3 linked regions of the Elephas maximus indicus genome follow. The protein of the gene in region 2 interacts with the protein of the main gene of each other region in a pairwise test. Links are inferred from orthologs where the notes say so. Each region holds a gene or a part of one and is shown on either strand. Other genes may lie near its edges. The genes, in order: COBL, PACSIN1 and COBLL1.

Region 1 (3,746 bases), on a different chromosome or scaffold from region 2:
ACTGGCCCTCTGATTTTGTTCATGAGAAAGCTGGGGACCCATGGGTGAAAAGCTCAGGCCAGCCTCTGTGTACATTACCCAATGTTAGATCCCAAGAGAGCACCTCTTTCAATGCTGATCACATATGTAGACCCACTTCACCTTGCATCATATTAGCCTTTTGCATCTTATTGGCCGTTTATTCTTCGGAACCATATAAAATTACCATTTTTGTAGGTCAGATTTTCATATCAACCCGTGTGTTCTCTTTTGCTGCTTTGGGAAGTTCCAGTTCATCCAGAGCTGCCTCAAAAGAAAGGCCTGGTGGTCTGCTTCTGAAAAACCAGCCACTGAAAACCCTATGAGTCACAGTTCTACTCTGACACACATGGGGCCACCATGAGTTGGAACTGACTCTGTGGAAAACTGGTTTAGGAAGAGTATGGAGATAATTCAAAGGGGCCTCTGAGGGTAAAACTAGAGTAGGGCCAGAGGCCTTAAGACATGCAGCTACTGAAAGGGCTGCTCACTGGAGATGGGCGGATCAGACGGGTCTTCTTCCAGAAGCCCTTTGGCTTAAGGTCCTCTCTTTCCTGCATCTGCTAAGACCAGCACTCGCTCTGGGCTCCAAAGTGCTTTGCCCCTGCTGTCGTTTCTGTCCACACCTAATGGTTTGTCCAAACCTCTGGAGTCCAATACAAGGCTAGACATGAAGCAAGCACTTAGTAGACCAAGCTTCTCAAACTTGAGGGCCTATCAAACAAGAGCCCTGGTTCAACTGCGCATTGCTGGGCCCCACTACCCACTTCCCAGAGTTTTTTTATTTAGTAGACCTGGTGTGGCCCCAGAATCTGCACTTCTAACAAGCTCTCAGGTGCTGCTGAGAACCACTGCACTAGGTGCCCACTGCGTGGAGGAAGCTTCTGTTGGGTTCCAGAGCAGAGACAGCAGCACCAGAGACTCCCTTCTTATTCTCTAAACCTTACTCCTTGCCGCTGGGCTTGACACTTCGCCCCCTCACAGCCTCTCTGCACCTGGTTTGCCCTGCCCCAGCTTCTCCTCTCTAGTTCCAGGTCCCGGCTGGGGCTCTGGCGCCTCAGGACCCACAACTCAGGCTCAGAGAAAGACGCACTCTCTTCCTGGGGAGAGGAAGCCGAGGGAGGTGGCTGAGGCCAGCGCGGGGTGCATGCCCCACTCCTTCCCCGGCGGCACCCCGCGGGGCCGAGCCTGGCACTCCCGTAGCATCGTCCGCTGGCGAGCGGCCGGGCCAGCGGGCGGGGCCGGGGCGGTGCTCGGGTAGGCGCGGCGGCGACAGCGGCGGGGGCGCGGCGCACCTTGCTCCTGGCGCCCCCACCCTGCGCGACTGCGGGCCCCTCCCCGCACTGTTCCAGCCCCTCCCGCCCTCTCCGCTCCTCGGCTGTCCTGCGCCGGCCCCGCGTGGGAGGACGATGGGTCGGCGCGGAAAAAGTGAATGAGCGAGGCGGAGGCGGCGAGCGCGCCTCACTCGGCCCGGCCGCAAGCTCCGCGCCCCACGCCCGCGGGCACCATGGACTCTGCGCCCGCCTCGGCGGCCAAGCCGCCCACCGGGTAAGCGGGCCGGGCGCGCGGCAGTGCTGGGGTGGAAGGCTGGGCTCGGCTTGGTGCGCTCTCGGGGAGGGCGCCTCTGCTTCGGCCCTGGGCCCACGGGGCGCCGGGGGGCGGTGAGCGTGTGCTCCCGTACCGGCGGGCCGGCCTGTAGGCGAAGGCGGCCGCCCGCGACCTGCTAGGGGGACGTGGAGTTGTGTACTTTGTGCGCTGGGGTCGTTTCCCAGGTAACCGTGTCAGGCGGAGGCCGGAGCGCCGTTTTCCAGCTGGGTGTATTTACGTGCGCGCGCTATAATGGGGGTCAGTCAAGCAGAGTCCCAACCTAACTCCAAGCCCTCCTCAGCCACCTTTTCTGAGTGTCTGCCTTGCGAGTCGGGCGGCCTTGCTGGGACCAGGCCTCTGACTCCAGCTCTGTCACTGAGTTGCCCTATGACCTTGTCACATTAAAGGCACCCCTCACCCGGCCACAATAACCTGCTCCGCTGCCCCCTCCTCCCACGTCCAGGTGCCGAGTGTTGTTGGAGTTCTGTAGCCTCTTTGGCCCGGGCGCTCTCGGTCGGTTTCTGTATAGGGCATTGCCCGGAGAGGTTTTCATGACAACTGTGTCCCTTCCCCATAGCTTTCTTTTCTGGAATTTCCCTTTGACAGTGTGCAGGGGCGCGGTAGTCGGACCATACCAGAGTTAGGGACCCCAGGATTGGATTTACAAGTACAAGGCATGTCTCTTCATGATTCTCCCTCTGCCCAAACCTTTCCAGATTCTTGTTTTTCATCCTCACACCTTGAGTGGAGGGACTACGCGTCACATACAGAATTTTGCTAGCAGTAAGAACAACTTTTGTAATTCAGGACAAACAGTCCTTTCCTTTAAGTAGAGACTGAGTCCGCACTGGAAACGTACACATCGTAACCAGGGCAGTGTAGCCACTGGGATCCCGGTGTTGGGCGCGACGTCCTTGGGAACGTTTGTGGATCTCAGCACGGAGCTCTTTAGCCCTTTCGAACTCACTTGCCTGGAGCAAATGTGTTATGAGTCCTGCAAATGGAATGAGTTGTTGGGGTGGGTCCTGCACCTGCTTACCGAATGGGCCCACTTTCCGCTGTAGCAACTGGACTTGAAGGAGGCAGCTTTGGGGACAACAAATCTCTTTTCTTTTGCAGTTGTGCCCTACTGACTCACCCTGCCCGTAAGCCCATATGCCCCAGTGTTGCCCAGGGCTGTAAAAGGTTTTCAAACTGTTTCCTTCTTAAAAACAAAAAAACAAAGAAAAAAAAAGAAAAACAAAAGCTCGCCCTTTAATGCCAGGAAAAAGTGAGCCAGGTTAACAAATAATCCTGAAGCTGACAAGTGTTCAAACGAACTTTTCCTTGCAGTGCACCTAGTTGCCGTTATGTAATTCCCTTTGAACAGACAAATACCAAAAAAAAGAAAAGAAAAGAAATGTGGGGAGTCGTTTTTCATGGTATACCAAGTGACTAGGGGAAATATGTAACAGAAAATAGAGTTACCTTTAAATCGGTTGCTATCATAGCCAAACAGAGGAAGGATCTTTTTTGCCACTATTATCTTATAAATAAATATGGACAAGAGAACATTTAAGAGGTCAGCAAAACTCTATCCAAAGAGTATTTTTAAAATCTTTTAAAAGAGTCTGATTATGGACTCACGTGTCATCTGATGGCGGTACTTTTTCCAACCAGGTACTATAAAATGAAGAGGTTAAACCCTGCGTATGGTTCTGTATAGTGGTTTGCACAGCTCTGATTGGCCTTTGCATCAGGGCCCCAAAGGAAAACTATAAGGACTTTTGCAAGGCACATAATAACAAAACAAGAAATTGTTATTATGGATATTTTTATTAGTTCTCCCACACTGTGTCCACTATTATGTATTAAAGTAAGAGGAAAAAAGTACTCTCGGGTATTGAATGTTTTGTATAATTTAGATGTATCACTTGCCTATCATAAAGGATAGATACAGATGTGAAATTTGTGACTTTCTTACCTTACCAAAGGCAATTGGATTCTGTTGGTTCTTCACTGAAATTTCTGTTGACTCGTTTCTGTAGCCGCCTCTCTATTGCTTGACTGTAAGACAGTATTTACTGTGTGCTTGAGGCGAATTTTTTTTTTTTTAGGGGAATTTAGTTTCTACTTGATGCTGCAACAGTTGGTCATGAAAT
Region 2 (3,746 bases):
GCTTTTTCCTGAAATTCCTCCACCTCTTGCCCCATCTGGCTCATTAGAATCCCAGCTATCATTCAGCACCCAGTCAGAATGCTGCCTCCTCCAGGAAGCCTTCCTCTGAGTGGCCCTAAATCAGAGCCCTCAAACCTTCTCCACATTGTCCACTCACTTGGTTGCCCTGTTCCGCCTTGGTGTGGGTTCTGGCATCTGGCAACCCTGACTAGGTATTGAATTTCTCGGGCTCCAATAGCTAACATGCAGTTGATCAGATCATTCGTACTGAAAGGGCCACTAAGGGCATGAATTTCAGTGCCTCTGGCACCAGGGTGTGGGGAGGGAGGGCAGGAGATGTAAATACATGACCAGCCCAGGTGATGCAATAGGGAGTGGTGTGGTCTGTAGCAACTAGAGTCTGCATGCCTACCTGAGGGGCTTACATTCAAATTAAAAACTCAGCCTTCCCCTCTAAAAGGCTGAGACCCAATCTGGCCATGACTACCCTAACTTTCTTTCCTTTTCTCTGGTTTCATTTTTCTACTTCATGCATATCATTTTAACATGTAGTCCATAGGGTCGCTATGAAGTCAGAATCGACTCGAAGACAACGGGTTTGGTTTATATACTATTTATTTTATTTAATGTCTGTCTTCCCTCACAAACATAAGCTACCCAGGGGCAGAGATTTGGTCTGTTTTATACTCTGCTGTAGTCCAACTCCTCGTCAACGACTGGCACATAGTAGGCCTTCAATAGATCAGTGCTAAATGAGTCATCAGCCAGCGCACTTCTCTCTGCAGCGAAGAACGCTGCCCACTCCCCTCTGTAAAGCCCGGGCTCCAGAAGCATTCAGGGTTCAACGCAGGAAGAATGAAGACCAGTGGGGTCACTTTTTAGGCCACAGCCCCCTCAGGGAGTCCCAGGGAGATGTTGCAGAGTCTGCCTTGGTGAAAGCAAGCCCAGTGGGAACTAGGGCACAAGGGTTAGTGACTCCGTCCCATGGGGTCAACAGGGCACTTCCGGGCGAAGCCGGCGGGGGATGGGTGGAGTGGTGGTGGTGGAGTATCTCTCCAGAGCGATCTCTCCTCCCCGCCAAACACTAAACATACCGCCCACACGCGCGCATCCATAAGCACCCGCACGTCCGAGGAGAGGAGGAGACATAGGAATTAGGAAAGGCCAGAAACCGACAGACAGAGCCGGAGGAAAGGCCAATAAGGTGGAGAAAGGGCAAAGAGGGGAGCGCAGCAGCACCCTCGGGCCCCAAGCTTGCCTTCAGACAGTCTGGGGAGGAGGAGGGCGCAAGGTCGGGAGATGCGCCCTGCACCCGCCGTGTGCAGAGCCCTCCTCCCCCGGCCAGGAGCACCCCGGGAGGAGGGAGCCTGGGCTGGGGAGCAGAGGGAGCAGGGGCGGGAGGGGAGGACCCAGGGCGCTGGCTAAGCCCGTTGCTGCCTCCTCAGCAGTCGCCGCGCTTCCACCTGCGCAGGCACCGCGCCGCTGTGCGCCGCGCAGCCATTGGCTTGCTAAAAATGCCTCCCTAATCTGCGCTCATCTGTGCACGCCTTCTCTTCATCCTCCCCCTCCTGCTGCTCCTCAGATCTGACCTTCCTCCTTCCCGCAGCCCGGGCGAGATCAGGGAGAGACGCGGTGGCGACGGCTGCGCCAGCCTCCTCCTCCCCCGGGAAGTCGTACGGGCTTGAGACCCGGCCCCAGACGACCCGCTTCGCCCGGTGGCGCCGCCTATGGTGCCTGGCGCTCCTGCCTACAGGTAGGGGGTCTGGTCCTTGGATGGGAGGTATCTGGGGGTCCATCCAGGGAATATTTGCGGTGGGGGCAAGGGCTGACACCTTCCTGGGCCGGGGCCTGGGGAGGATTGGGCATTTACCTGGATAGAGGTGGGCGCGTGGCCAAAGGTGCTTTGCAGGCGCATAGGGTCGCTGGCATCACTCAGGCAGTGCCAGGATGCCTGCGCTGGACCCCTTGAGAGTTGGGGTTGGCAGCTGGCAGTGGAGGCCTTTACCCTGGGGAAAGCGCAGGAAATAGGTTGCTTGGGAAGCTGAGGAATGGGCGCCGGTGGCTCAGGTGCCTGCCCTGGGGCATTTGGAAACCTGCTGAGGTGGGTGGGCTAGTGCCAGCTTAGTGCGTCCGCTATTTATGGATCAGAGTGGGCTGGGGAGAAACACAGCAGCAGATGCTTCCTGTCTGGTTTTTGATTAAAGGTATTTCCTTCTGTCCCCCGCCCCTTCCCCCACAGCTGGTATGGGGGGAGGGAGGCTGAGAAGGAGGTGATGCTAAGAGGCCCCCAGATACAGCAGAATCGCTGGTTTGCCCGGCACTGCCCACCCCCTCACCCTCAGGCCCGTGCTGCTTGTTGGAGCCATCTCTCATTCTTTGTCTTACAAGGTGCCATTGAAAGAGTTAAAGGGTCATTAGGGGTGGGGGGCACAACCGGCTTGGCTACAGCCAGCTTTAAACCTCAGCTGCTCCCCATCCACCACAGCCCAGCTTTGCACCCCAGGTACAGTGACACATGTGGGTGCTTTTCCCTGGGCAAAACCATAAATAACCCACATTGCCCTGACTCCTGGTGTCGCAAGGGTGCAAATGGAACTGTTGTTAATGATTTTGGAAGTTCTGTCCCCATGCACTCGGCCTTCCCATCACATGTCCAAATCACCACTCACAAGCCACCCCTCAGGGAGCTTCCCCAATACCTCAGGTGAAATGTTTGCCTCCTGCCCCTGTGTTCTCTGACCCAGCCTGCCTTGTGGCTTGGCTATTTCTGTCTTGTCTGTCGCCCTCTAGACTGTAGGTGCCTTCAGGGCAGGAATCTGTCTGATTCATCTCTGTCATCACTCTTGCACCTGAGCAGGGTCTGGCACCAAGTAAATGTTTGTGGAATGAATGAATGAGAGATTGAATGGACTTGAACTCCAGGAAATGCTGGAAACCTGAAGGAGGGAAGCCTGAAGGAGCCCGTTTGGGCTTTTCTTACATTCCCCAGGACCAAAGAGCCACCTAAAACAGACAGTTTTGTTTAGGCCCTTCCTAGACATGGAATGGATGGGGGCTAAGTCATTTGGAGATACATGCTGCAGTCCTGCTGGCTCCAAAGGGTCTTGCTGGTCCCTGTTTTGAGTGCCCTGGCCTGGTGCAGGCTTGGTAGAAGGCCTGAGTAGGAGGTCTGGCTCTCTTCAAGCCACTGGGCTGGCACCTTCTTCCTGGAATGCTAAGTTCAGACCAGGGGCCTCTCTACCTTTTTTCCCAGCCCTTGGGAAAATCCAAGTCAGCATCAAGGAGGCGAGGCTGGGAAGGCCCAAGGCTGGCCATTCTCAGCCTCTGGGGTCCTCATAGCAAGTGCTGAGCAAATCTAGTATCTCCATTGCGTGAATGAGCAAACCTAGGCCAGGGAAAGGGGCTACCCGCAAGGGTTCTGGCCTAGCCACAAAGGCTGTGTCTGTGAAGGACGTTGACATTTGCAGAGCCCCTTCCCTGCCTTGTTCGTGTGACAGTCATGCCCGATAAGACATCTGCAAGATGTTCTTGTCATGGTCTTACAGGGGAGGAGACTGTGGCCCAGACAGAGACAGCAGCAGAGTCAGAACCCGTGCTGGGGTCTTGGCTTCAAGTCCAGGGCTCTCTCCACTGAACTCGAGGGAGTGGGGGAGGAGGCGCCAGGCAGCAGACTGGGGTCACGGTGTTGGGTTGTCATCAAACCCAGAGACCCCTCGTCTCTGGCTCTGCCTTGTCTCCTAGTAACG
Region 3 (3,746 bases), on a different chromosome or scaffold from region 2:
TTGAACATAAGTTACTGTTTAAAGACTAAACTCCAGAGGATCTAAATAAATTCATTTTAATCGTAATATTGGCAACTTTGAAAAGCAACTTTTTTCTGATATGGTTCCAATATTATAATTCAAATAAGTCACATTTCTTTTGTTTCTATGTGTAAAAATGCATGCTTTTATACACAGGAATAAATAATGCCTGCTCTTAATAGACCAAGGACATGTTACTAGGTATTTAGTATGTTAGCTAGTTTCGGTGATCTTTTTGGTTGCTTTGCTCTAAATATCAATTTAATTTTTAACACCTACCAAATGCTTCTTATCAGTAGGGTGAAGTGCCTAACAGATTTGCTATTTGATGCTGGTATTACAGTAGAGGCTCCTTTCAGAATGATCCTTGGTGTAACTCTATTAGATTATTCCAAATATTTTTACTTTCAAACTGCATTTTTAAGTTAATTTCAAGTTATTTTATGAAAGCAAGCTCTTGGACTGATCAAAATGGCCAGCACCTTAAAGCAATTGGTGCTGTTGAAACTATATATACAAGTTATGCAAATATACCTGTTTGCCAGGTGTAAAGAATCACCTGAAGAAAAAGCACGCGAGAACTAAAACCTATAAACAAGCACACAGCTGGGTCTTCGTGATTCTTTTATTCCTGTAAAACTACCAAGAGATAAGGGGAATTATTAGATTTATCACTCAATTCTTGGCTTACAGATTGCCATTAGACACAATATTGTCCAGCCTTCATTTCACAGCTGCTATAGGCTTTTTTTTTTTTTTTATAGGCTTAAAAAAAAAAAAAATTATGCCTGTAGAGACAGGGCAACATTAAACCTGCTATCCATTAAGAAGGCCACAGTGTCACAGGTGCACTTTTAATGAGTAGCAACCTAAGAGGTCAAGTTAAAAAAAAAAAAAGACCCGAACGTGGAAGGTCAGGCTGCTGGGAGGGCAAGCTGCAAGCCTTGTTCTGTGAGTTTTTCTCCGCACTTCCGCGGTGGCCCAGGTCCACTCCTCCAGACCTCACAGGGCAGGTATTCTCCTTCTCCACATCCCCGCCCCCCACCTGTCTGACTTGGGCGCGCCAGCTTTCCTAAAGTGATACCCTAGTGGTGGGAATGGGAACACTTCGCCCGTTAGCTTCATTGGCGTTCGGCTTCCCCAGGAGGACCCCAAAGACTGGAAGCCCTGGGGGGGAGGAAATTCCAACTCGGTCCTCGCCCACGCCCGCCCCGTCCCTCTCTCCGGCTCGCTGCCTCTCTCGCCCCGATGCCGTCGAAACTCGTCCCCACTTTAGGGTGGCTAGGCGGCGGAGGTGGCGGCGAGGTCCCGGGCCCTGGGCAGGGAAATGGGGCAGGGTGAGTGTACGAGTTTGGGGAGAGGCGCCGGTGCACTCCGCCCGCGGGCAAGGGGAGGTGCTGTCTCGGTCCGGCCGGCGGCTGGGCTGAGCCACCGCGAGGCTGCCGCTTTCTCCTCCATTCAAGTCCTGGCTTGAGAGCCCAACTGAAAGCGCGCGGGACGGGGGAGGGAAGAGTGGGAGAGGAAGCCGCGGGAGAGAACAGGCGAGCCACTGTCTCCTTTTGAAAAGAAAGTAGGAGCCCTGGGTGGAAAAGAGATTAACACTCCCAATTTTTTTTTTTTTTTCGAAAAAAGTTTTGTCTGGGCAGCTCGGCAGCCTGGCAGTGCGCTGTCGGCGTGGCGGCAGTGTCTTAGCGTCTTTCCCAGCTCCTTCTCCTTCCAGCCAGGCCAGCGCCTCTCCCTCCCCCGGAGGCGCCAAATGGCTACCCAGTAAACCCCACGGGGCGGGGGCTGCAGCGCCGCCTCCTGCCACCGCCGCTCCCTGCGACGGCGGCGCCCGCGGGCTGGGAGTCTGGGCCCGCAGGTGGAAGCGCACCCGGGAGGCGGGTCTGCCCGGGGCTTCGGTGGCTCGGGCGGGCTCTTGACGCGTGGCCAGCCCGGCTCTGGCTTCGGAAGGGCGCGCGTCCCGCCCTGACCGGCCGGCCTCTCCCACCCCAGCAGTGACGCGCCGACTTGGAGCTGGAGCCCGCGCAGCGCACCGCAGGGCGATGGACAGCCGAGCCCCGCGCGCGGAGGACGCCCGGGCGGCGCCCTTGCCGCCCGCCACCACCTCAGGGTAAGCCTGGAGCGTCTCACCTTCACTCACCCGGGAGGGCGATGCTAGCGAGGCTTCAACCAGTTTACCTGGTGGGCGACTCCCTGGCCATCAGACACGCAGGCGAGGAGGCTGCCTCCTTTCGGCCTCGTTGGAGACCGCCTGGTGTTGGGAATCTGGTGGTTTTGAACGCTTTCGTATTGGGGCCGCGCTGGGTTGCTGAAGGCCAGCCGAATGCTAGGAATTGGGTAAGGAGTCTGGGAGCAAAAATCTTAACAAAGGGCCCCTTGTTGAGGCTCTGGAGGAGAGGAGGGCGATACCTGTAAGTGAATTCCTGTGAAGGAGAAAAAAAGTTTCCTTGGCCAAAGGCTGAGGCCCACACAGGCGAGCAATAACAGGGTGACTGTGGGAAGGGGCTTTCTGTGAGCGAGTGGAGGGCCACAGGTGTGCCAGCTGTCAGCTTGCATGACAGTTCCGGAACCAGGCAGGGTGCGAGCCTCGATTGGGGGTGTGTGTGCTTGTGGCCAATTACTGATGCCAAAGGCAAGAGCAAAGTCAGACTGCAAACAACTGTACTCTTCTTTGTATCCTCACGTGTTTGTGGAGAAATTGGAGGGGAAGGGGCTGTCACATGGTGAGTTAATATTAAATGAAGCATGTCTTCCTGCCAAATATGCTAATAATCACTGTGCTGAGCGTTTGGGTAAACAGTAATGAGAACAGGTAGTTCTGCAAGAGATGGGGGAGAACCTGAAGATAACCTTCGTCTTGGTAAACAGAGAAGGAATAGCATGGATCGGTAGTTGAGTTTTGAAACCCCTCTGACATAGTATAACTTTTTCCTACAATTGTTTCAACTCTGTTTCTTTTCATTCATCCTTAATCTGAACCCAGAAATGTCCTAAAAAGAATATGTTAGAAATAAAAAAAAGTCAAGGAAAAATTGACTTTGTATCAAATGAATGGGAGTTGTGAAGTTTTCCTAATTTAAAAGAGAAGTCATTTTTCCCTGGAACATGACAGCCGTTTCCTTAGGAGCAAGTCATAGCATGTTTATTCGTCAGAGGCCGTGCGAACATTGGCAGTTGTCTTGAAACATGGAGAAGTCTCAAAGCAACATGACTAAAAGATATTTAGTATAATTTTTTTACATAGAGGAAACGTGTAATGTATGAATTATTTCATTTTGCTCTGATTAGCTCCTTTCCCCCACCCCCCCATAGCAGTATTGCCTTTCCTCTTTTTTCCCCCAGGTTTTTCCACTGTTTAGATATTGCCATATATTCTTTCATATGTTCCATGTTATTGTGTATAAACACATAAAAACAAGGTCTCTAAACGGAGCTGTAAATGAAGATGAACAGTTCACGGCATATTGAAATGTATGCAGGTACCAAAAATAAGACGTAAGGACTGAATTGGTGGATTTAAAATGGACCAAAAGTAAGAATTAGGTTAAGGTACTGTTTACAAAAATAAAAATAGTATGGATATCCACGTACATAAAGTGTCCCATGGGTGTTCAGAAATCAAATGATACCTTTGAGTATTTGTGTGATACCAAAGGGCTCTGTGATGGAGTGGAAAGAGTTTTCTAGTGATAAGCGTAATTATAGTAAATGCTGCAAATTTT

Evidence for each region.
Region 1: the proteins of PACSIN1 (region 2) and COBL interact in binary tests that used the Homo sapiens proteins (3 or more experiments, as listed by UniProt). The link is inferred for Elephas maximus indicus from reciprocal best matches to the Homo sapiens genes PACSIN1 and COBL.
Region 3: the proteins of PACSIN1 (region 2) and COBLL1 interact in binary tests that used the Homo sapiens proteins (3 or more experiments, as listed by UniProt). The link is inferred for Elephas maximus indicus from reciprocal best matches to the Homo sapiens genes PACSIN1 and COBLL1.

The regions. Positions count from the first base shown.
Region 1 is NC_064826.1:111,953,105-111,956,850, forward strand, and holds the start of COBL (protein cordon-bleu), read left to right. Parts: upstream 1-1,289; 5' UTR 1,290-1,450; coding exon 1,451-1,566; intron 1,567-3,746.
Region 2 is NC_064819.1:97,289,533-97,293,278, forward strand, and holds the start of PACSIN1 (protein kinase C and casein kinase substrate in neurons protein 1), read left to right. Parts: upstream 1-1,406; 5' UTR 1,407-1,753; intron 1,754-3,746. UniProt on the Homo sapiens protein: Plays a role in the reorganization of the microtubule cytoskeleton via its interaction with MAPT; this decreases microtubule stability and inhibits MAPT-induced microtubule polymerization.
Region 3 is NC_064824.1:62,843,101-62,846,846, reverse strand, and holds the start of COBLL1 (cordon-bleu protein-like 1), read left to right. Parts: upstream 1-1,164; 5' UTR 1,165-1,348; coding exon 1,349-1,358; intron 1,359-1,607; exon of another isoform or gene 1,608-2,016; coding exon 2,017-2,134; intron 2,135-3,746.